Linked DNA regions of Oryzias latipes. The protein of the gene in region 2 interacts with the protein of the main gene of each other region in a pairwise test. Links are inferred from orthologs where the notes say so. Each region holds a gene or a part of one and is shown on either strand. Other genes may lie near its edges.

Evidence for each region.
Region 1: the proteins of ndrg4 (region 2) and receptor expression-enhancing protein 6 interact in binary tests that used the Homo sapiens proteins (3 or more experiments, as listed by UniProt). The two-hybrid records come from large-scale screens. The link is inferred for Oryzias latipes from reciprocal best matches to the Homo sapiens genes NDRG4 and REEP6.
Region 3: the proteins of ndrg4 (region 2) and rabac1 interact in binary tests that used the Homo sapiens proteins (3 or more experiments, as listed by UniProt). The two-hybrid records come from large-scale screens. The link is inferred for Oryzias latipes from reciprocal best matches to the Homo sapiens genes NDRG4 and RABAC1.
Region 4: the proteins of ndrg4 (region 2) and mal2 interact in binary tests that used the Homo sapiens proteins (3 or more experiments, as listed by UniProt). The two-hybrid records come from large-scale screens. The link is inferred for Oryzias latipes from reciprocal best matches to the Homo sapiens genes NDRG4 and MAL2.
Region 5: the proteins of ndrg4 (region 2) and agtrap interact in binary tests that used the Homo sapiens proteins (3 or more experiments, as listed by UniProt). The two-hybrid records come from large-scale screens. The link is inferred for Oryzias latipes from reciprocal best matches to the Homo sapiens genes NDRG4 and AGTRAP.
Region 6: the proteins of ndrg4 (region 2) and arl6ip1 interact in binary tests that used the Homo sapiens proteins (3 or more experiments, as listed by UniProt). The two-hybrid records come from large-scale screens. The link is inferred for Oryzias latipes from reciprocal best matches to the Homo sapiens genes NDRG4 and ARL6IP1.

Annotation. Positions count from the first base shown.
Region 1 is NC_019862.2:22,302,291-22,305,790, reverse strand, and holds part of receptor expression-enhancing protein 6, read right to left. Parts: intron 2,251-3,500; coding exon 2,082-2,250; intron 2,000-2,081; coding exon 1,854-1,999; intron 704-1,853; coding exon of another isoform or gene 689-703; exon of another isoform or gene 681-688; intron 1-680. UniProt on the Homo sapiens protein: Required for correct function and survival of retinal photoreceptors. Required for retinal development.
Region 2 is NC_019864.2:4,034,588-4,038,875, forward strand, and holds the start of ndrg4 (protein NDRG4), read left to right. Parts: upstream 1-1,488; 5' UTR 1,489-1,503; coding exon 1,504-1,579; exon of another isoform or gene 1,580-1,694; coding exon 1,695-1,833; intron 1,834-1,845; exon of another isoform or gene 1,846-2,152; intron 2,153-4,288. UniProt on the Homo sapiens protein: Contributes to the maintenance of intracerebral BDNF levels within the normal range, which is necessary for the preservation of spatial learning and the resistance to neuronal cell death caused by ischemic stress.
Region 3 is NC_019874.2:20,935,573-20,939,800, forward strand, and holds the start of rabac1 (prenylated Rab acceptor protein 1), read right to left. Parts: upstream 2,801-4,228; 5' UTR 2,745-2,800; intron 2,531-2,744; 5' UTR 2,466-2,530; exon of another isoform or gene 2,418-2,465; intron 1,183-2,417; 5' UTR 1,169-1,182; coding exon 1,047-1,168; intron 669-1,046; coding exon 456-668; intron 281-455; coding exon 183-280; intron 28-182; coding exon 1-27. Other genes in the region: dedd2 (DNA-binding death effector domain-containing protein 2), read left to right, coding at 4,147-4,228. UniProt on the Homo sapiens protein: General Rab protein regulator required for vesicle formation from the Golgi complex. May control vesicle docking and fusion by mediating the action of Rab GTPases to the SNARE complexes.
Region 4 is NC_019874.2:10,913,543-10,917,769, reverse strand, and holds the start of mal2 (protein MAL2), read right to left. Parts: upstream 2,801-4,227; 5' UTR 2,640-2,800; coding exon 2,490-2,639; intron 1-2,489. UniProt on the Homo sapiens protein: Member of the machinery of polarized transport. Required for the indirect transcytotic route at the step of the egress of the transcytosing cargo from perinuclear endosomes in order for it to travel to the apical surface via a raft-dependent pathway.
Region 5 is NC_019863.2:32,259,499-32,262,557, forward strand, and holds part of agtrap (type-1 angiotensin II receptor-associated protein), read right to left. Parts: intron 2,307-3,059; coding exon 2,108-2,306; intron 1-2,107. UniProt on the Homo sapiens protein: Appears to be a negative regulator of type-1 angiotensin II receptor-mediated signaling by regulating receptor internalization as well as mechanism of receptor desensitization such as phosphorylation.
Region 6 is NC_019866.2:2,356,161-2,360,126, forward strand, and holds the start of arl6ip1 (ADP-ribosylation factor-like protein 6-interacting protein 1), read right to left. Parts: upstream 2,801-3,966; 5' UTR 2,674-2,800; coding exon 2,638-2,673; intron 1,599-2,637; coding exon 1,465-1,598; intron 446-1,464; coding exon 326-445; intron 1-325. UniProt on the Homo sapiens protein: Positively regulates SLC1A1/EAAC1-mediated glutamate transport by increasing its affinity for glutamate in a PKC activity-dependent manner.

The DNA.
Region 1 (3,500 bases), on a different chromosome or scaffold from region 2:
GTGAGCCCAACTATATCTAGTCCGTACCTCTCGACCTCCTGCACAAGCTCAGGCTCATTCCCTTCCAAAGAAGTGAGGTTCAAGTCCCAAAAGCTAAGTTCCATTTGGGTTTGGGCTGCCGAGGAACCCACCTTCAACTATCACCCAAACTACATCAGCCCCTTTAGAACTCTCTTACAGGTGGAGGGCCCACGGGAGAGCGATCCAACAATGTTTCTTCAGGTTGGACCCGACCGGGGTTGGAGGGAGGAGTCCAGACCCCAGGCTAGGCTCTAGAGTTTGTCCCCAGTGATGTCCCAATCTGTGTGACACATTTCTCATAAAGGGGGTTCTTTTACTCTTCACATCGAGAGGAGCCAGCTGAGGTGGCTCAGCCATCTGGTCCGGATGCCTCCTGGTTACTTAAGGAAGGAGTCCCTTAAGGCTCTCTGCTGGTTTCCATGTTTTGATTTTGACAGTGGGAGGAGATGAAATGGGGAAAAAGCACCTGAAAGTTGGACTACTTGGAAGAATCCATCACCTGAAAGTCACCTGGCAGTAAAAATACAGGACAGGGAGGGCTGTGGAGGCTTGGCAGGTCAGTTCATGTCACACATCTATGAGGGTGTGGGATTCATGCTAACTCTGCTCACAACAGTTAAAAAAAACTCTACTCTTCCACACAAAACTGGAAGACTTACCACACTTTTTAGCCAAGGAAAGGCTGCAGCAGGTGGCAGTAAAGTTAGTAGATTGTCCTTTTTTCCAAAAACACATCCTGGAAACTGTTTTACAGACCTCATACAGTCTTTAACTTGGCCACAGTTTAAACAGCCCATAATAAAATTGATATACATCAGTTTTAGGTAACATGCTAAACAACATACTGTATATAAAACGTACTGCATGTATAAAAAATAACAGAGAACATCTTCAGAAGCTGGAAATCCCTTTGATTTGTTGATTTGTTTGTGTTTTATGAAGCTCAGTAGGGTTAACTTAGGTTAATTACTTTAAAAGTCTTGTAAATTGTAATCATTAACTGTATATGAGAACTGGACTGAGTGACTCCTCCTCCCTGGTGTTCCAAACAGGAAGTTCCCACTGGATCCAAGAAGTCAAAATCTCATAGACTTCTATAGAGAAATAAACAGCTGTTTATTACTCAATCACTATAATGGTCGGAATAGCTATTCTTGCTCTGCTACCTTTGGAAATCACAAAAGTAGGTAGTGCCAGCTGGTCCCCATGTCCAACGTTAAAATATTTGATTGACAGATTCTGGCAAGTCCACTTTCATGTGGTAGGGGTGTGGACTTCCAATAAGTCCATTCCTGACTGGTGAGATTTGTTGTCATAGAAATTTGGACTCAGACCAATTACTGCTTACTGACATCATCTGGTTCCAACATGGTGGCGTCTGTATTGTAAGAAAATGGCGACTGAATTGACTTAATTTGGTTGGACCTAGAATTAAACTGTTGTTTATGGATGACGTCACACCCACCGGTCCAGTTCTCTTACACAATCTATGGCTGTTCTAGTAAAACCTGTATATGGTCCATTAGCAGACAATTAAGATAATCTGATTTTGATGCAAACATCTGTACGTAATTGGATTATTACTGTCATGATTACTATATTGATCAGTATTTTTTATCTTTTTATTTTTTTGTGTTGCTTTGAGACAACTTTTAAGTTAGATTCAAATGAAAGAAATATACTTATTTTGGCTTTTTGATGTTGTCTTGCATTCTTTTCGTAGCTCTTTAAAGGGATTTTAGTTATGTAGTGACACTTACAATTAAAATAATGAACGCAGCTGGTTTTAGGAGGTCAGGGTGGAAAGGGAGGAGTCGAGGACGAATACTCACTCTTTGTTCCTCCTCCCTCTGTTGCAATGGCACCACTTTAGCCCCTGATGTTTGTGCAGAGGAACTTGGTAAACTTCTGGTGTCTGACTGAGCTACTGTGGCCATCGGCGTCACTAAGGTTTTGTTTTTCACCAAAGTGGACAAAACTGAAGAGGGAAGCGGGAAAAGACATATTATTGAGCAGAAAGGTAATTTGTCTTGAGCTTTTAGGCCTCTGGCGGGTCGTACCTTCCCTGGTGAGGTTTTCAGCGGCACTCATGGCCTTCCCACTGAGATCACTGACCATGTTGTCCACCGTTGCTTCATGGCGGAGGAAGATGGGACGAACTACCTTGTTGTAAATTATCTGCGATCCATTCCATGACATAGGAGCCATACACCACAACAGGAAGAGACACTGTTGAGTAAAGGAGTAACTCAAAATTTGATGTACTCCATTGCACGGCTATAATTCCTTCTTTAGAAGAAGGGCTGTGGTGTAATGCCTTAGTTACATGCACCTGTGAAGGGGTTGACTAGTACGGGGGCTGTGGGGTTTTGGGTTGTTCGAGCCCACAGGGGGTCATGGACAGGGGCAGTTTTAAAGGGACACCAGGCGTGTCTTACACTTTCCTTTTTGGCTCCTGCAGCCATCTTAAGGGAAAATAAAAAAATTGAATTTTCCATCTGGTAAGTCTATCGTCAAGTGTTTGCAAGAATTACGTAAGTTATCCATGAATCAATGGTGTACGGGTGATGCTGTCATGCGGTGCCCTAACAAAGCACTCTAGTCATTAGTGAGGTATTGGCCCCTTACTCACACTAGACGTACAGCGTTTTTTGATTTATAAGTATCTATACAAACGTGGATCAAATATCACGAGCCCTCCTCTGCACGAAAGTGCCTGTAGGGCACCCACACAAACTACACTCTGATTGCCTAATTTCACTGAAAGCACGGGGCGCAGAAAAAACGCGCACTGTGTGCTCAAGGAATGTGTACTGTATGAGTAATATACAGTATCGAATACTAATCATAAATGGGCCCTTAGTGCAGTGCACAGATTTCAGGAGGGGCTTAAAATAGGAAAAATCTGTTCAACGTTCCTGCATCTCACCTATTTCTCCCGCACTCACCCTTATGTGTTGTTTTAGTGTTTGCTACAACCTGTTGCCCGCAGCCTGCCCATAGGGAAAAGCAACATGAACATTTTCTCTCTATAGGCTCATTAAACGGACTGCAATCTTAATTTTTCCTGCGGGACCCCTGTGTGCCCGTGCAAATTTCCCCACTTTTCGCCCACATCCACCCTAAAGGGTAGTTGTGACTAAGGCATTACTGTTCTTTGAGGAAGACTGCAGGTCAGAAGCAGAAACACACATTACTTAATTTTCCATTTGTCTTAAAAAAGTAAACATGTTGTTTTATTGTTTAAAAACCCAGTTTACAAATCGATTCAAATCAAACTTTATTAATAAAATACTTTTTGCACACATGTACCGCAAAGTGTTTTGTATTTGTATAATAAAAAGCTCTGTGAACTACTTAAAAATTAAAGACAGGAACTTTCTGTTATAAAGAAATATATTTTCCTAGAAATTCAGAGAAGGTCCAAATACGTGGCACAAGATTGTAAAACATCCAAGGTTGACGATTGCTGTCTAACA
Region 2 (4,288 bases):
TCATCTTCATCTTTTTTGTGCAGTGCATTGGTGAAGATTTTCGTTCTAGATATAACAGAAGATATTAAGAATATAAGAAGATTTTAGGTCCAGATGCTGTGACTCAACTTCAAGAAATCTTATTGTGCACTGTTTTTGTTTCATTGTCTCCATTTGAGAAATAGAGAAAACAGAGACACCAGAAATGCCTTGCTGATGCCACAGGTCAGAGAAGAACACCTGGTTTAAGGTTTTGTCGTCAGTATTAGTGTTAGTAAAGGGCAGTGTGTCACAATCATTTAAATGAGAACAGTTCAGGTTTTTTTCTGTTTGAAACATGTAAGATTTTTGCAAAGAAAAATCACCTTTTTATTTTGACATAAAATAGAAATGGTTTCATAGCAACATCTCCCCTGGCTTAAAGCCACATTTGTTAACTAGTAACAATGGCAGTTCACTTTGGTTGCTGGAGAGTGAGTTGGCAGTGATCTCTAATCACTGCCAACCCTGAGAAAACTCCAGACGGATACGGTTCCAACGAGACTTGATGTTGTGGAAAAATTTTACCAAACCTTTTTTTGTGCATGTTGCAGCTTTCACTAGTTAAATATATTATTTCAGCGGGAAAAAAAACAGCATCTGTGTAACCTTATATGTGTTTTACATTTTTACCAAGACTGTACAGTTCTCAAAGATGACAGCAATCATTTAGCGACAAATATTTATTTACATTTGTGTGAACAAAATTTGATCAGAATGTGTGTCAAGAGTTGAAGGACTTTGTCTGTTGCTCTGGGATGCCAGTGAATATTCGGAGGCCCTGCATTCCTTGGATCTCATCTTTGAGTGCCTCATATATCCTTAACTATAAGCGATGCTGCTGATGGAAACATCTCCCTCAGTTTGTTGGCGATGCGGACCTCTCCGTCTGTTTGCGTTGACAGACATCTTTGCAGCTGCCTGTAGAGAGAAGCTTGGTTATGGCGAAGAGCATGGAGAGTAGAGACCGTCCTGCTGACACAGAACTGTGCAAGCATGACTAGAATGGAGTTACTCTTTAGTTAAGCCACACAAAAAACAGCTTCAGTCACTAACAAGTCATGTCCTTAGATCATTGACCTGATAAAAAATAATTCCCCTTCCATTTCAAATGGGTCAAACTGTGACAACTCCAACATGTTCTTTTGTTTTTGGATCATTGGTTACAACTGTTTTTTTTGAGTAACCTATTGCTGGAGGGTTCAGAGGACAATGACCCACATTGTCTCCTGAAACCAACCCTTCCAAGGTGGTGGCGCTCCAACTTCACCCCCCGCTCCCAACACTCAAGCTTGGTCAGGGTTGTACCCCTGTGATGGTTAGGAATGCTCTCAGTAATCTCACACTCAGGAATGCACTTCACAGTGTGCACATGCAGGGCAGGCCTCAGGACACAGTCACCCCTACAGGCTGTGAGGGCGTGGCCCATCTTCAGCTGGTGACAGAACCTTTGAGGACAGGAGCAGCTCGAGGCGCTGCAGCTGGATGTTTGAGCCGCTTTCACGTCATCACTGCTTCTCCAGACCCGGATCTTCTCTATCAGGGCTGGATTCACATCTCAGTCAGCTCAGCACTCACACAAACTGACATTTGCACACTTTCAGGTCTTTCTTTGTGCTGTGAGCTGCATTGTGCTGCATCACTGGTGAGACCACGTGCTCTGTGTTTATCACCAGGAAGGGGAGGGAGGCAGAGCCAGATTTCTCGTTTTGTCCATTGCCACCACAGACACACACACACTCTCATCCAGGCAGCCACAGGGAGGAGGCAAACCAGGCTGAGCCGCGCCGTGTCAAACTCTGAACAACACAACAGGTAGAGTGGAGCTTTTTACATCCGTAGCACGATGAGTGTCAGAGCTTCAGTCTGAACGACGGCCTTGCATGAGCTTTATGTTTTAATCTCATCCTCTACGTGTCTGAGACGGCAGACGGCAGCCTCCTGTGTGCTGTAGCCTTATTGTGTTGGAGGTGGGGGAGGAGGATGGTAAAATAAAGGCTGCTCTTTTGGCTGCGAATGCTGCTGAGCCTTTGTAGTCTAACGCCCTGCTGCCAGTTTCTGCCTGTGCACGGAGGAATGTTGACAGGCTGAAATTATTGACCTTGGACGACACAAAGCGCGCCATTTGCCCAAGGTAAGGATTCTCAGCCTGATGACATTTCTGTGGTGTTGAAGGGCTTTCATTTCTCTGATGTGGAGACATGAACGTTTGTCTGAATCCAGTGGAAGCAGCTGAGTGATGAATCCACAGTGGGGGGAAGTCATGGAAGTTGATTAAATTTGGTGCAGGATCGTGCTGATGGAGCATTTGCCAAATCCTCTTTTCAACACCTGAACGACAGAAATGCATTTCCTTAACCAACCAACTAGCTTGGTTTAGTCTGGCCCAAACCATCTACAGAAGACAGGGACATTTTGCTGTAAATAAATTAGTTAAGAATATACCACCCTCACAGTTTCCTCACAGCAACTCCTATTGCAGTTTACTTGAGGGAATAGAACCAGCAGCTTCTTTTCCTTCCATCACAAGTGCTTCTCTGTACTGGAGAACCAGCTGTTGAAGTTGAGTGTGTGTGTGTTCCTTTTTTTTGGGGGGGGTGGGGGGGGGGGGATGGGTCTGTCTCAGAGTTTATTATTAGACCCTTAAAGATCAAATCACTCCTGCTTTGTTTGTCTGAGCCGCTCAAAAATGCATTTAGTCTTTTTGTAAACAGCAGTTTAGCAGACATGCCAGCGCCCCCTAGAGGTGAGAAAAATAACAAATCGCAACTTCATGTTTGACTTTGAGGAACGTTCAAACTTTCCTTCAATTTCTTTTAACTTTGAACACTAAAATAGCTGCTGTTTTGTTCTCCGTGTGTCTACACCTGGTATCACATCAGAACTGCCCCGCTTGAAACTTGATTTCTTTTTATTGACCCAAGACTCAGACTTGGACTCGCCTCTGAGACGTGACCAGAACTTGGAGAAGATGACTTGTTGTTTTGGTTGCACACAAGCTAACCTGGTCTGTTTGGTCCTGTTTTTTTTCCAATCTGAAGAAACTAGAAATAGTTTCGATGTCAAATCCTGAAAAAACAACAGTCCACGCTCATGTATCCAATGTGGTGACTGTAGCTCACTAGGTCGAGCAACTTCACTGCCAGTTAGAAACTAAAATCCCAGGTTAGACAGTCAGTGTCGTTATCTTATACATGCTACTTTAAAGAGCCACTCCAATGAAAAATGTGTTTTTGATGTTTTTAACATGTTTTTGTGGCATTTATCTAATGATGGAGGGCATGTATAAGACATTTTGCTTAAAATTGCATTTCTGAGTCTTTCTTTATTAAGTATTTTTGTGAATCAGGAGCAGACGAAAAATACCATTTGAAAAAGCTTGCAGGTACGATGTAGGAGTTACTACTGCAAACCCCAAGTTCCCTGCTCCGCTCCATTCAGATACATCCACCTGCAGACAAATATGTATGTCTTATTTTACCTCGTCTGGGCTGGCTTCTGGATCAAAAATATAGGGCTGGATAGCTCCAATTTTGATCGCCGTTTTAGTTGTACAGGTAATGTTAGATTGGGGCTGTGAGCTGGTGGAAGAGAGAGTAAACAGGTAGCCATCTGCAACGAGGAGAGGAATAGGGGTCAGGGTTGCTCCATGCCATTGGTCGCGCCCTCAACTCATAAACAACTTTCTAAGTAACTACTGCCACTCTGCAGAAACTATGTCCTAGAAAATGACAATTTTTTTTGTTTTTAAATTTTGGCTAAAAACAGCATAATCTTAATTAAAAGACCACTGGGAGCATTTTAGGAGCTTTAGCTACGGTGTTGGCATTCTTTGAATTACCATAGCTCAAAACCATAACCATATAGGCAACATGTTCCGTTTACACATTTGTCAATGCAACATTTTGTAACGGTTTGCATTGGCTTAACACTTTGTAAAGTGTTGCACATTGGTACTAAGCTGCGTTCTCAGCTTTTAGAATCTGTTGGAATTATGTTATTTGCATAAATGGTTGAAGATTAACCGTAATTCGAAGAGCGCGTTATTTCCTGTCACCGGGTACAGTCCCAGTATTAAAAGGTTAAGTTCCAATACAGCAGAGGGTATGATGGGTATTTTGTAATGGGTAATAGCGGGCAAAGTGTGTTTGTTTCAGTGACGGTATCTGGAAGGCTCTGGGCATGATTATTACCCAACTGCCTAATTCACTATTGACTTCTTTACATAGAGGTGAGACTGAGCAACAGCAGCCAGAAGGATGTTACCCAA
Region 3 (4,228 bases), on a different chromosome or scaffold from region 2:
TCTGATGAGGGACATTAAGCTGTTTGCCTGGAAAAAAACAAAGTTGGCAAACACATGAAAACATAATTCTCTGTGGCTTTCTATAAGATTCTCCCATTTCATGCATGGCTGAAAAAAACTCTGAAAAAAAGTTTTTTCACTTTCAGGCAAGTTAAGGACAGCAGTTTTTCTGTTTTACTTACCAAGAACAACCAGTCTGGACTCTTGAGACTTCAGGTGGATTATGTAGAAGGCACCAAGAAACACAGCCAATGCAATCAGTAGCATAGGGGAGCTTATACTGACAAGAAAAGAAAAAAAAAAAGGCTCATAATGCTGTTACTGATTCAATCTTTTCTTTTTCTTTTCTCAATCCCGGTGGCCTTAGTGTGTGCAGTCAGTGTTGCATCTGTTATTTCATAAAACTTCAATAATGTTTTGAGGTAAGGCCAAAGCAAACTCAGGTTTACACCTACATGCAGTACAGGATGAGACCCAGGAAGATGAAGGTGTAGTTGCTGTTGTAAGTTTCCACATTTTTCACCACTCTCTGGCATGCATCTCCGAAGTTTCGTGGTTTTGAAAACTTGCGTTGGTCCACAAAACTGGCCCACGGTCGAATGGACAATCGGCGCCTATCAATCCACTCCTTGGCCATGCTGGCAGAGAAGCCTTTAGGGAGCCAGAGCCTACAAAATAAAGGTAAAATGGTAATAAAGCGTACAAACTCTCAAGGAAAAAGTCAATGCATTACAACTTTTGACAATATGAGCAAAACAAAAAAGTATTTTGTAGTTTGATTAAGGAAATTCTTAGAAACTTTGACAAAACAAAACTTTAAAAAAAAAAAAATTTTAAGTAATGAGGCACAGTCTACAGAACAGGAGGATGAGGATTTAGGACTAACTCCACCCCCAAAAGTGGATGTGTAAAGACAGTAACTCACAGAGCCTTAGCACCATTGCTGTGGTTTTTCTACAAACGCTGTTTAATGTCCACGTCCATCACCGAAGAAAGTTGTTTGGGTCACTAAACTCCTTTTTAAAAAAAACAAAACTGACTCGTACTTTGAAAGGATTCCAGCTCCACCCGTGCCAGTTGGGTGAGCATCTTCAGCCGTAAACAGATCTCCAGCCTTGCTGTCCATGTCCACTTGACAGTTCTCTCCCTTTGGTACTCCAGATGGCATCTGCAAACCTTCTCCTGAAAATAAAAGAAAATAGAATAAATAAAATAAAAGAAATAGTCTTAAGATTTTTCCTTCACATACTTTTTTTTCCCCCTTCTTCGGATCAGCACAAGATAAATAGTCCAAAAACTGTGTGGAAAAATGGCCTTCCTTTATATGGAGATAGATGTTTTTTACGAGAGATGAAGTGGGATAAAAGAATATTAACGTTTTTGAGTTTGAGGTTGTTTAATGAAGAGCCTAAGTATTAATAATAATTATAGAAAATCATAAAATAGAAAATATATACATATGACTGAAGACATATACCCAAATACTACAATGGGTAACTGAGTAAACAAATGAACGGAAGATAGAAGCTCAGGAAAGATCTGACTCCTTTTCTTTTCCTTTTTTGCCTATTGTTTACTGTTAACATGCAGATAAGTGCATGCCAAGTTTGCATGTGGGATGTTGTTACATCATTGGGTTTGTCAAGTGGTTTAAAGATTTTGTTTTGTTTAGTTTCTCCATTTTGCTTCTAAAGTTAATTTAAAAAAAAAAAAAAGAAAAAAAAAGATTGTCTTATTGGAAGTTTGCATTTTTCCTCGTATTTTTCAATGTACAAACGATATGTATCCTTTATAAAACATGTCAGAATTTTTCTGGATTCTTCTTTATTTTCCCCTGTTTAAATGGGAAATAAAACACCATACACCATACAACCATACAATCTTTACGATTTTTGTAACACTCCTCGAGGTGCATCAAAAGCAAACTTAAATAAATAAATAAAAAAGGAAAAAGGAAAGGAAAACCTGTTTACTTTATTTTTTAAAGGTAAATAACAATTGATATATTTTATAAAATGTGTTTAAAATGGAGAAACAGCAGTAACTACAAAAGAAAAACTACATGATCACTAGTTTCCACATTATTCTTAAGAGCATAGAGGTTAGATTTTAATTCAAACTTGTTCCTGATTGGCCAGAAACATAGGAGCGGATCTCGTAAGTGGAAAATTTTTGTCAACAGGGCTTGGTCACTGCCACATCACTGACAAAGGCCGAGAACTGAGCCAGAAAACGACATTTTGAGCAAGTAAAAATCTTTTAAGGATCAAATTTGTCCATATGTGTCGAATTATAAGTGGAATAACTTTTATAAAATGAATACTACCTACTTCTTCGTGTCTCATGTTAAATCAAACTGATTGTACGAAGATCACAGTAATTTATAAACATTGAAATGAAAAGACATAAGATTTTACCTTCGTGATGTGTCAAATGTCAAACCTACAGACGATGTAGATACTTACAGACCAAGTTATGGATAAAAAGCCAAGTTGTTTTGTTGCTGTTGGTCCTCACGGATGTGATGTGGCTGAAGAAGAAGAAGAAGAAGAAAAGAACTTCCTACAACACCAATGCCGCACACTGCCCCCTGCTGGTTGCACCAAAGAACTCCCCAGTCTATGATGTTATTTTTTCCCTTACATTTAACCATATAAAAATATTTTATTCATTCCTCTATTTAACTTTGAAGTCGACAAGAAATCAAAAAACATTTTTAGTGCCAAAGTGACAGAGATTACTACCTTGATTCTTTTAGGAACAATCTGGGAACAATCGGTATGTTAAGTGTGGCAAAAACGTGACCTTACGTTATGAAACCCAGCCCGAGAGCTGTGATTGGTCAATTTACGACTCACGTCTAGCCACTGTCACGTCGCACGTTGCATTGTGGAAGTTGCTAGATCATCCAGCGTCAGGCAAGCTATCGCGGCTGAAAGGTGAGGTCTAATGCACTCTAGGAATATTCTCTTTGTGGAAAATGTAACCTAATAGTGTTTTAAAGGCGCGTGTTTAACGTTACGCTGTATTAGTTGACGCCTTAGCGTCTGCTAGACTAATAAGTTCAGCGGGATTCATCATCATGTCGTCGCACCGACCGTCGTTGAAACAAACAATAGACCGTCTTATTTGTCTCTAGAATTGTTTTTCTGCTAATTTTGCGTGGTGTTACGTGAAGTATAACTGCCAACGAGCTCCTGTGTGTGTGTTTTTAATCGAACAATTGAAGAGCTGTGTGTTTTGTATGTGTTGTCCCCCACCCTACTGATTACATAACTCTGTTCAGAGGAACGGTACCGAGTCGGTAAAGATAACATTAGCAATTGTAGCTAGGCATATATGACAGTAATTAAACACATCTCGATGCATTTCATTATAGGTGGTAGCTGCTTGCAAGTTTGAAGAAAATCTTAAATAGTGAGTGTTCGTTTGTGGCACACAATGTACACACAAAGACTTAACATGACAACTACTAGCTACAATTAAAATACCCACTCCGATGAAAATGAAAATTTAGCTTAGAATTGCATTTCTGAGTATTTCTTTATGCAAACTGATGTGAATTAGACGCAAAAAGCTGTTGCAAAAAAACGTGTAAGTGTGACGTAGAAGCTACTACACCAACCAAGCTCCCTCACTGCTCCATTCTGATGCTTCATTCTGACACATTTGGGCTTCATTTTCCTCGTCTGAGCTGCCATCTGGCTCAAAACTGTACGGTTGGATAGCTCCAATATTGTTCACAATTTTTGTTGCACCACTAATGTGCAGTGGAAGTTGTGATTGTGAGGGGCTGTAAGCGAGTGTGTAAAGGGATGGTGGTAAGGGGGGGCTAACTCCATGCCAGCAGTCCTGCCCACGACTCTGGGGGGTTAATTTCTAATTAACTCCTGCCGCTATGCAGAAACCTTCCTAGAAAACAACACGGGGAACGCTTTGAAAATATTTTAAAAGATGATCGGAGTGGGGCCTTCAAATTGTTACGTTTTTTAAATGAAATTATTAATTAAGGAACCTGATACCATTTGTTTGGTTTCAAGTTTCAAACATAAACATGGTTAAAGTAATTTTTTTGTGTTTGTTTTCTTTTTCCCCTAAACTCCACAGTTTTATTTGAGTGGGAAACTTGGAAAAAAGGGGTAAACCATGGCTTCAATGAATTATCCTGAATGCACACTGAAGAATTCCTTATACTGGGATGAAGCAGAGTGCCTTAACTACTATGGGA
Region 4 (4,227 bases), on a different chromosome or scaffold from region 2:
TTGGTCTTTCATTATGTCCCAGTCGAAAAAAACCTGAACTTAAACTTATTCCCATAATTGGTTTTGGGTTGTTCGTAAACATTTTAATCCACGTTACATCCGTCGTCTTTTATGCTATCAAAGCCAAAAAAATGAGAGGTTACTGCCTCAAGTGACAAAAACATATAGATTATATTGATTAAAAACACTCTATGCTCTTAAATGAGCCAGTATTTTAATAAAACTCAAACTGTAATTGTAAACTGATCAATTTTCTTTATAAACATATAAATGAACAAATCAATTAGAAATGGTGAATCTGTGTTGCAACCTCTTGTACATGTGTGTGTGTGTGAAATAAAAACGTGAATGAAAAAATCGCACACATTAATTGGTTTCATTCAGGGAAAAGAAAAAGCTTTACTTCAGCTCATAAGCTAAGTTAAGAAAGTGCAGTGGGTTTTTTTTTTTGTGTAAGTTTTTCTCATGTAAAATCACTGAATTCGTGTTTTCGTTAACATTTCAATCCACAATATGTTCGCCGTTATTTTCTATTAAAGCCTCTAAAAAAATTTAAACTCCCGCCCCGCTGCCTCACTGGATTTGACATACAGATTTCTGCCAATCAGATCAACCAGAAAGGTTACTGCCCCCAAGTGACAAAAACACCCCCTGAACACTTCGCGCAAACCCAGCGAGCATGCAGGATCGCCACTCGGTTAAGATTGCAACTGTGCAGTTGTAAAATGCGGGGTCGCTCGGTTGAAATTGCGCAGTTATAAGTTTCGCTCAGTCAGTCCTTATCTTTGCGCTTGATAAAATTAGTGGCAGCCATGAAACGCCATAGACATGAAACAGAACACCAATGGGGTACCTCTCTGTGTGGAGTTTGCATGGGCTTTTTCTGGGGACTCCAGCTTCCGCCCACCTCCAGAAACATGCTTCACATGTTAATTAGTTACTCTAAATTAGGCCTGCACAATAAATCGCAAATTTATTGTTATCGCGATGCATTATCGCTGTGCATTATCCATATCACAAAAGACAGCTAAAATCGCAATAAAAGGTAAACCTTAAATGTGCTAAAAAAATCTTATGGCCACTTGAATCATAAGAATTGAATACATAATTGAATAAATCCCTTGATACCAATCAGATGGAGCCTTTCACATTGCTAACCAATCCGATGGAGCTTTTATGTTAGATGTTGCCCTCCTAATTAGACGAGGGTCATTTGGAGAATAATTAAAGGCATTTTGACTCTTATTTAAATTAAACTGTTCAGTGAAATGGAAATATTTTTGTTGATTTTGCTATTTGTTCATTTATTGCAAGTTATATCGTCATCGCAATATTGATCACTAATATCGCAAGTTTTCCTCTTATCGTGCAGCCCTTCTCTAAATTGTCCCTAGGTGTGAATGTGGGTGTGCATGGGTGTGTGATTGTGGTCCTGTGACAGACTGGCGTCCAGGATGTCCCCTGCCTTTGCCCACGAGTGGCCTTGATAGGCTCCGGCAGCCCCATGACCCCAAAAGGGACAATCCAGGTTTAGCAGATGAATGATTGAAAGTACACTTTCTTCCTGTAATTGAGGACAAGGCATGTATGCAGTTCAAGAGGTAAATATGAAAATATTTTTCTGCAATGGTTGGATTTGTTCTCCTGCTTAATGCTCCCCTTTACTAACATGAGCTGAAAGTTTTAAGTGTATGGCATCTATGTGAAAATTGTCATGCATCATTTGAACAGTTACCCCGAGGCACTCAATATCTTGGCAAATTAATTATACCACGTAAGTGTTATTGCATTTTAGTTGGTGAATAATTGAAAAACTTTGGCCATTTTGGCATCTTTGCTGCTTGTTTTCTCTCTCAATCTTTTTAAGGAATTTACTTAGCCCTTGATTAAAATGTCCAATTTTTTATGATTCTTTTGAAGCAAAGTATCATAAATTGTTAGTTCATAATGCATTCTTCTCTGATCATCCTTATTAGGTAAGTTTTCTTTTTCACAAAACCAACTAAAAGCATTATTTTAGTGGGTGGGAAGTTCAAGGGTTAACATCAACCAGGCTCACACCTTAATAGCCACAGATCGGCAATTAATTCTTTGAATGTTTCCAACATATGCTCTTCCTTTTCTGCACAAACTAAGGCATCAAGATAAGTAGTAAAATACCTGTTAGATTAGATTAGAGCTTTCATGGAAGTGCTGTGCAGAGGTCACCTTGTATGTTTATGACACAATAATGTAGACACAAACCAAAACTCACTTGTGGTCTTCTTCTATAATTTTATATTAAAGGACGTGACTTTAGCGCACGACTACAAATGTGCAAAAGTCGCATCCCTAAGAGACATGATGTCGAATGAGCAGATACAGTTTGCAACAACAGTAACAAACTAAACTATAGACAAAAACTGATTCCTAACAGATTTTACTATATATTAGTAATAAGGATGTGAATAAATATAGAATAAAACAACCGCTTGTAAACAATCACTCACTATTTCTATGCAGATGAGAACTCCAGAATAAGTCCGTAACACACCCAAACCCAGAGGTAGAGAAATGGTTGCCGTCGGGAAGGAGGTGGCGGCGGCGGGGTCCACCGGGGCAGCGGTGGCGGCGGCGGGGTTAGAGGCTGGCTCCGACATTTTTCACCTCTCCTTGTATCTCCTTGCTCTCTGAATAACTAAGCTCTCTGAATTTACCCGTTAAACAAAGGACGGGCACAGAGGCAGAAATTCCTGCGGAATCATGTGTCCTCGAACAGGTCGGACAGGTGCAGCGGCCACTCCCTGGATACGAGGGATGCGTTCAGGGACGTCTCGGAAGATCCCACATCACAATATCCATTTTATAAAACAAGGACGGGTTTAAAAAGTTTATTATAAATATATTATAAACGTGTTCTGGTATTGTTATTACATTGTAGTCTTGTGTAGTCAACTAAATTAGTAGTTTGACTAAAATAAGTAGAAAAAGCCCCTTTATTTTGTCCAATGTTCTACAGGAAAAGTGTTGGGAAAATCAATTATTTGGAATAACCTACATTTTATTTAACATTTCTGAAAGAAAATCTCGCATGTGTCAAACAGGCACGAGTAAAACATATATGAGGCACTTCTTCAAGTTTTTCCACACTTTTATTATTAGTGTTTGATATTGCCAACTCTGAAATTTGCATGATTATGCTTTTATCAAATGCCCTTTGGCCCTGTAACGATCAAGGATAGCAGTTTTCTTCCTTTTTCTTATTAGGAATCACTATGTGTTTCACAACCCTGTTCCTTAAGCATCCCTGCCCAGAGTGTTTTACTGCTTTTCTCTGTCAAACACACCCAACTCAAATAAATGACTCATTCTCAAGTCATGATTAAACTCAGGAGCTTAATCAGGTTTGTTAGACAAGAGGAAAACTTGACCAGACGGTGTTGGGAAACCTAAATCTTTATAAACCTAAACATGATTTAAAAAAAAACCTGCTTTAAAAAAATAGAAATGACCTAGATAACATTGAAAAAAAAGTTTACTTTTATATTGTAATTTCACCAAAGACTTTTAAAGGAACACAAATGTTACTAAAATAACACTTGTATGGTGTCCTGTGAAATAAATGACAGATTTAAACTGAACCACTGGGCTGTCATGGTGAAAAAGCACAGTTTTTATGATAAACCACTGTCAATGATTAGCTTGAGTTTAGATTATGTTAACCAATGTTGGTTTAACCTCCAAGAGGGCACTGTTCATTTTTAGTGGACTGAATCTTTTCCCTTGTATAGTCAAAGTCTATTTTTCATTGTTTGTGATGAGTTTTTTTCTTGTTTTATACTAGTTTTGATTTGGATTCTCTTCATAAAACCTTTAAAAGGCTCAATGGTTTTTCAAAAATAACACATTCAGAGGTCAAACAGTCGTTCATTCTTTCATCTCCTAAGCCGTTTTGTCCTTTTCGGGGTCAGGGGGCTGCCAGAGCGTGTCCGGCCACTTGTGGGCGAAGGCTGGGGACACCCTGGACAGGTCACCAGTCTGTCGCAGGGCGTCAAACACTATTAATTTTACATTTATTTCATTTATAAGAAAATGTACTCACTGTTTAGTTTAAAATATTAAAGGGCCTATACCATGCAATTCTGAAGTCTGTCAGAGTAAACGACATCCATATATTACCTTTAGCACACTAAATAACCTCTTTTTAAAAAAACAAAATCAAATATGAGTCATTTTCTCGAGCTCATT
Region 5 (3,059 bases), on a different chromosome or scaffold from region 2:
TCACTACATGTTTTGTTTGCGTAACGTTACGTGTCTGTATGAACAAAGGCGGAGCCTCCTGCCCGCGTTCTTCATGGATGTCAGGCTTCATGGCTACCAGAAAGGTGACAAAGTGTCTGCAGTCTGTTTATTACTGAGCAATATATAATATTCTGAGAAGATGTCCGTACCAGAGAGCACAGGTGAAACCTCACATGCTCCAATTCCAGAGCGGTCCATTGACTCTATAAGAGAACTGGACTGAGTGACTCTGCTTTCAGTGGAAGGGGTGTGGTCTTCCAACAAGCTCACTCCTGATTGGTGAGAATGGTTGCCATAGAAACAAGGACTCGGACCAATGGCTGCTTACTGATGACGTATGGCTCCAACATGGTGGCGACCACAATCACAAAACAATGGCGGCTGATTCGACTTCATTTGGTTGGAGTCGGAAGAGAAACATTTTCTGTGGATGACATCACACTCGCTCAGTCCAGTTCTCTGATACAGTCAATGTTCATTTCCAAGTATTTTCCTCTCTTCTCTGGTGTAAATTTAATCCTTAAATCTAGTTTTCTATCGTTTCGGTTTCTTCTTGTTGGCTTTTTATTCAGATGACTCTTCCTCCAGTTTTTCTTTGCACAAATATTCTTGCTTCACATTTTAGAAAGCTTTAAACGTTTGAATCCCTTTCATTTCACTTTAATTTTTCTCTGTGTTACTAAAAACAGAAAATTCTCTTTTTATTTAATTTTTTTCACAGAATGAGTGAATGTAGAATAAAAAGTTGTGTTTGTTAAACGATGTATGGAAAACGTGGACAAAAAAATAGAGAGAATGAGGAGGAGACGCATCAGAAAGTCGACGGATAAAAAAAAGGATTTCTGAGGAAAAGTATTAAAGGAAAACCTTTCTGGTCATTTGTAAAAAGTTCAAATGTGGGGCTTTTTGATTCACATCATTGCAGAAAAGAAAGGAATATTTTCCGTGATGTTAGAAGGGTTTTAGAATGTCAGAAACTGGTCCTCAAAAGTTCTCAGATAAAACTGGGATTCAACGGACCCCCCCGGGACAGTTTCACTTTTTAACCGGCTTCATTTTTGAAGTTGGAGCTAAAATGCAGCAGAACTTTAAAACCAGAGTTGATTTGAACTTTTTGTGACCGGCACAGACTAAAAACAGGAAAACCTTGAAAAAGAAACAAAGAAGAAACTTGAATGTTCAGCAGAAGTTCAGGAGGATTTGACTGATTACTTCAAGTTAATTTAAATAATTAGTTAAGATGATCAGACTTCCTGGATCAGCAGAAATCAGAACAGCTGAAAACAAACCAGTCCTGCAGACAAATTATTGTCGTCTTTCTTGGCTTTTTTAGACTCTTGTTTTATTGTAAATAACCTTAGTAAATATCTTTATCACTAATATTGTGCTTTTGTAATGTGTTGTAGATGAATTTGTTGAACCTTTCTGCCTTAGGACAACGGATGAAATGTAGCTCTTGTGCTAAAACTCTGGCATATTTATGCTGAATCTTTGATTAATATGCAGTGTCCCGATTCAAATAAATAAACACAATAAAAATAAAAAACTAATTGATTCTTGTGTTTTTTGGATGGTTTCCAAAACTGTGTGCTAACCTGAAAACAGATCATGTCCGATTAGATTAAACCTCCGTATTTAACATTTTTTTGTTTGTCTGATCAAATATAAAGACAATTAAGGTTGAGTTTGCTTTTCTGAGTATTTCTGGGGATCAGGAGCAGATGAAAAAATCCAAAGTTGTGACGTAAAAAATTCAATCAGCGATACACAAACTCAGCTAATGCTAGATTGGGGGAGGCTGTAAGTTAGTGGGAGAGAGAGTAAACCAAGGGATGATGGGAAGTTAGCGCAGGCTTACTCCGCCCAAAACTCGTAGACACGTTTCAAATGAATCCTTCCCGCTCTGCAGAAACTTTTGTCTAAAATGAAGTTTTGTTGGAGTTGAAGGAGCTGCTGAGAGGAGGAGGAGGAGGAGGAGGAGGTTTGTGCTGCTCCTTCAGGAAGAACATTTGCCCCGTTTGGAGGTGAAAGACTCCCGTCCTCCCAGAACCCTCTCTGATGCGTTTACCGCGCCGACGGGACTCACCAAAGTTGACGCTGTACTCGCCCCCCCGCTCGCGGTACATCTGGTACACGAAGAAGCAGGACACGGGTTTGAGCAGCAGGTTGAGGATGGCCATCCCCGCACTGAAGCGGAACACGCTGGAGTCGAAGAGGCCGGGGGAAAAGTAGACTCCGAAGTGGATGATGTCGGTCAGAATGGTCACCGTGATGCCCACCAGAAACTGCAGGGGGGGGGGGGGCAGAAAACGAGCAGAGGCAGAGGAGTGAGATCCAAACAGAAAGAACAGAACGTTGAGCGTTACATCGAAGGCCCTCCAGGAAAAAAGTTCCAGAATAGAGTTTTCAATATCAGAGAGCCACACCCCCGGGTGAAAACTCTACTTTCTTCTGGAACTTTCATCCTGGAGGGACTTTGATGAAATCTTTAACTGTAAAGTAGTAGGTAAGTCAAATTGAAAGAAAGTGAAATAAAGTACTATTAACTCCTTCACCGACAGATTAGACAGATTTCTGAGCCACAGAAAATCAGCTGGAGGTCAATAAGCACAACCACAATCAAGGCGCAGCCGATGAGAAACCAGATTTCTTATACTTTTTCATTTTGTTAAGCTCCCTATGGTTCAAAAAAATAAAATGCAGGTCACTTTATTAGCTTTGATATAATTGTGATTAGTCAGCTTTAGACATTTGTGGCAGAGGTGATAAATCGATAAATACTAAACGGTTTTCAATCCCTGCTGACGTCACACCACTACTTTGGCTGCTTAGAGATGATCAACAGGGTGGCTTTTATTTTGAAAGGATGTCATGTGAACAGTAGTTCATGACTTCCATTCACATTCATGTTTTATGTTACTTATGCCCCCCCCCCCCCCCCCCCCAAAAAGGTAACAAGAACACAAATGAGTGTCCTTCTTCTCTAAAGGGTGAGGCGAGACTTAGTGGCTCTGTAAGGGTTAAAGGTTAAACACCCC
Region 6 (3,966 bases), on a different chromosome or scaffold from region 2:
CTGCTATTTGTGTTAAGTAGAGCAGCGCGGGTCACGGACAGCTGATGGGGGGTTAAATATCCAGAAACCTAAGACACCAAGAGAGGGATGAAGGGCGCCCTTGGCCACCTGCGGCGTGTCGCTCTGCCGTCATGGTGTCTGGTTTTCAGTGAACTGGCTTCTCAGCTCATTCTGACATTTCAAAGCTCAATGAACATTCCGTTTAGGCATCACGTCTGACAAAGAGAAGTCCACCATGAAGACAAAACCATTCAGACTTTTTTGTCAACCAAGTCGGCTCTGATGCCAAACTAAGAATCAAAACAGGGTTGGGTGATCCTCTCACCACTTATTGGAGCCAAATACTCGGGGGGCGAGGGTGGGAACCAAGTAGTCAGCCAAGCAGAGCAGCATGACTGTGCAGGAGAGTCCAGTCAGCACTGACGGGTCCAGGTAATACACCAGCCTGAAACAGGAAGCAAACATTCAAACATCTACTTGAAAAAAAAAAACAACAACACACAGAGGTTTCTGTGCGGTTATGAATACGACATCTGAAAAAGTATTGCGAGGCTGATAAACAATCATCCAACTGTGGGCTGCAGATGGAGGAAGGGCGTGGACACTGGGGGAATTAAACAGGAATGCAGCACATTAAGAAAGCAGCTGAACTGTGATTTTAACAAAACACAAAGTGCTTTTTAAACCCAACAAGCTAGTCTGCATCTTCAGGCTGTGATATTTTATACAACTAGAAATGTTTGATAGTTTGCAGCTTTTTTTTCTGAATATGACTTCAGATACAAAAAGCTCTAAATCTACAGGAAAAGGCGCAGCGCAGCACACGGGAAGTTAAAAAGAGAGACGTTGGCAAATACAAACAACTCAGTGTCTAATGCAGCATGATGTGAGAGAACACATGGTAATAGCCGTAAACCTCAGTTTTTCCATGTGCCGACATGAGTTTACGCAAGTCTGGGCAACAGCACTGAAGATCCCAAGAAGGTGAGATTCCCTCATCGTGGGTCAATGAGTCTGACTACCTTTAAAAGTTTTAAATCCTTACATACATTTTCATTTACCAACTTCTCTCAACTCTGAAAACATTTACACAACTGCATTTGCACTCTGATAAAAACTGAAGGCAGAGTGAAAGAGAACCGAAAACTTTCCCTCAGGCAAAGAAAAACCTTGTGTTGCAACAAAATTAGGCCTGAAAGAAGCAATTGTTGTTCAACTCTAAGAATGAAACATAAAAATGAAGAGTTTCTCAAGTTTTCATGGAAATTGGACTTTTCAGAGCAAATTCTCTGTAGCGACATTACTATATATCCTCCTTTTGTCCTTACAGGTCACCTCATTAACAATTCAAGCGTCGATCTTTAAAAGTAGACATCCGAAAGAAAAATGAAAGAATCCCAGATGAAACCATTCTGGTATGGCATGTTCTAAAACCCAACCCAGCATAGAGTAAACCCGACTTACAAGAAGATCACGGTGGTAGCTCCCACTAGAGCTCCAGGGAACCAGGGCTTCTCCCATCGCAGAACACGATCCCCAGCCAGGATCACCTCTCCCCAGGCCTGCAGCTGCTCCTCCAGCTGTGCAGTTTCCTGAGCCTAAACACAGAACACTGCTTCAGCAAACCCGGTACCAACCAACCAGTCTGGAGTCCCCAGTAAAAAAAAATGTTTCTATTTTGATGACTTTTTTTTTTATTCCTGCTTTTACTCTATTTTGACAGCAGATGAATCAAAAACAGAAGAAAGCTTTCAGGAACATTCCTGAATAAATAGTTAAAACGACAAATGAATATTTGTCTATACACTCCCTTCTTTGTTTGGTCTCTTGTCAGCCTTTCCCTTTCTAAAAACATCTTCCTTAAAACAAAAGCTATCAGTCAGAGTCACTGATAACAAAACTGTGACTCACTGGAAATTATTACCCACAGGGTGACACTTAAATCATTAGTCTAATGCTGCACTGTGACTGAAATGAGGCCTAAACTCTTTTTAGGAGGGTCTGGCACTGCAGCCAAAAGCCCAAAAACCAACAGTTTGGTTTGAGTAATTTATTCTAAAAGTTGGGGAAATGACGTGGCTCAATTAAGCGGAAGTCTTAAATTAGGCAATAATGGAGCTTTAAAACTATAGTATCCGCAACGAGACATGTTCCGCAAAACGATTATAATGCGGGGAGTATTTTAATTAAACCCACTGGGGCGTCTCTGAGAAATAACCAACGTACATGCCAACATTTCTGTTAGTAAAACCAAAAGAAGAATCATATATCGTTTTATATTATTAAGAATTAAAGCTTATGTTATGCAATTTTAACATTCAACAATCAAAATCTTCGATCGATGAAGGCTAAACCCAGCTAAAAATCATGCTAGATAGCTAGCTAACGTTAGCTACTAGCGTTAAAAAAGAAGAGTCGCGGTGGAAAGCTCAACTAATTTTAACAACATATACAAACAAAACTTTAAGTTAATATTATTAACAGTTTGTAAGTTAATAATGAACATTAATGGAAATATTATGCGGCGAAAAGCTAGTAAAATTAGCATCTGCGAGTCATGCTAACGTTGAACACATTAGGCTAAAACCACCAAAATACGTCACGAGATGAAGAAAAGGAGGGAAATTGTGCACTTACTATTACGTTTGAACTTTTGTTGTCGCCTTCAGCCATCACGGTGGTTTCGGTGTTTTAGATTTGTGGCGTGAAACCCCTTAAAGTTCTACAGCTAAACTGGAGCTGGGGATTAGACTGCACTCCACCTGCTGCTTCGGCGTCTCTAACGGTCGAGCTAAGACAGGATGTTTTTATCTCAAAACCTGCGTCAACTTTAACCACTTGCATTCTGGGAAATGAAGTTCTATGCTTCTCTGCACACCGACAATTGTCCTTTTTAAAAGCAATTAAATAAAACACATCCATACATTTAAAAATGTCCCTTCGCTATGTCCAATAAATAAATAAATAAATAAATAAATAAATAAATAAATAAATAAATAAATAAATAAATAAATAAATAAAAATAATAGTAAAAAACACGTTTGTTAGAAATAAGGAAATTTAAAAAAGTGACTCACGTTTCCTTTTAAAGGTTTGAGTTAAAAATTCAAAATCGTCTTTAACGTACTGAATATTTTAGAAACAAATTCAAAATAGACAACAGAAAAGTGCTCACAGATGAAAGTAAAATATACAATTTTGTAAAACAATTTTAAAAATATCACTAGCTGAATAATATTTCAGAAAAAAATGGATAGTTACACATTTTATTTTTCAATTTTAATATGGTTTGATGAAACGCTTCTAAACTTTTAAATGAATTCATTACTAATGGGTTTAACCTTTACTTCAGTATATCAGGAAAAAATAATACCTTTTAGAATTTTGTTTAGTATTGTGGCTCAGTTCACTTTATTACAAATTAATGATAAGCAAATGTAGTTAATAAATGCATTACTAAACTACGCAATTCTCATGAACATCAATGTTCCTACTATTATCTTACGGCACTTGAACGCATCACGGTTTGGACGACTGTTGAACGTGTGACGTAGTTTTGTCTTCCTCTCACTTATGCCGTGGTTGAATTGAGAGCTATCTGGTTGCTAACAGTGCTAAGAGTGCTTTTGTTCTAAGGATACGGTTGTTTTGAGGATCAATTCGACCAATTTGACAGTGGAGTAAGGTATCAGACGCAAAGTTTAAGTTGATATAAGTTCGGTATTTTCTTTTAAAAGAAAGAAAAATCGAGCGAAACCTACAAATTGGTACGTAGCTGTTATATTAGCATGCTAGTTAGTTAGCTAGCTAATGCGTGAATTCTACCTGTTTAATTTATTCAGGCCTTCTTGGATAATTTATTTAAACATAAAACGTTAGTATAGCCTAGAAATACATTTTTTGTAGTATTTCTGATGACATTAGTGAAGTTTTAAAGTCACTTACAGCAAAAGGCCTATGTCTGCG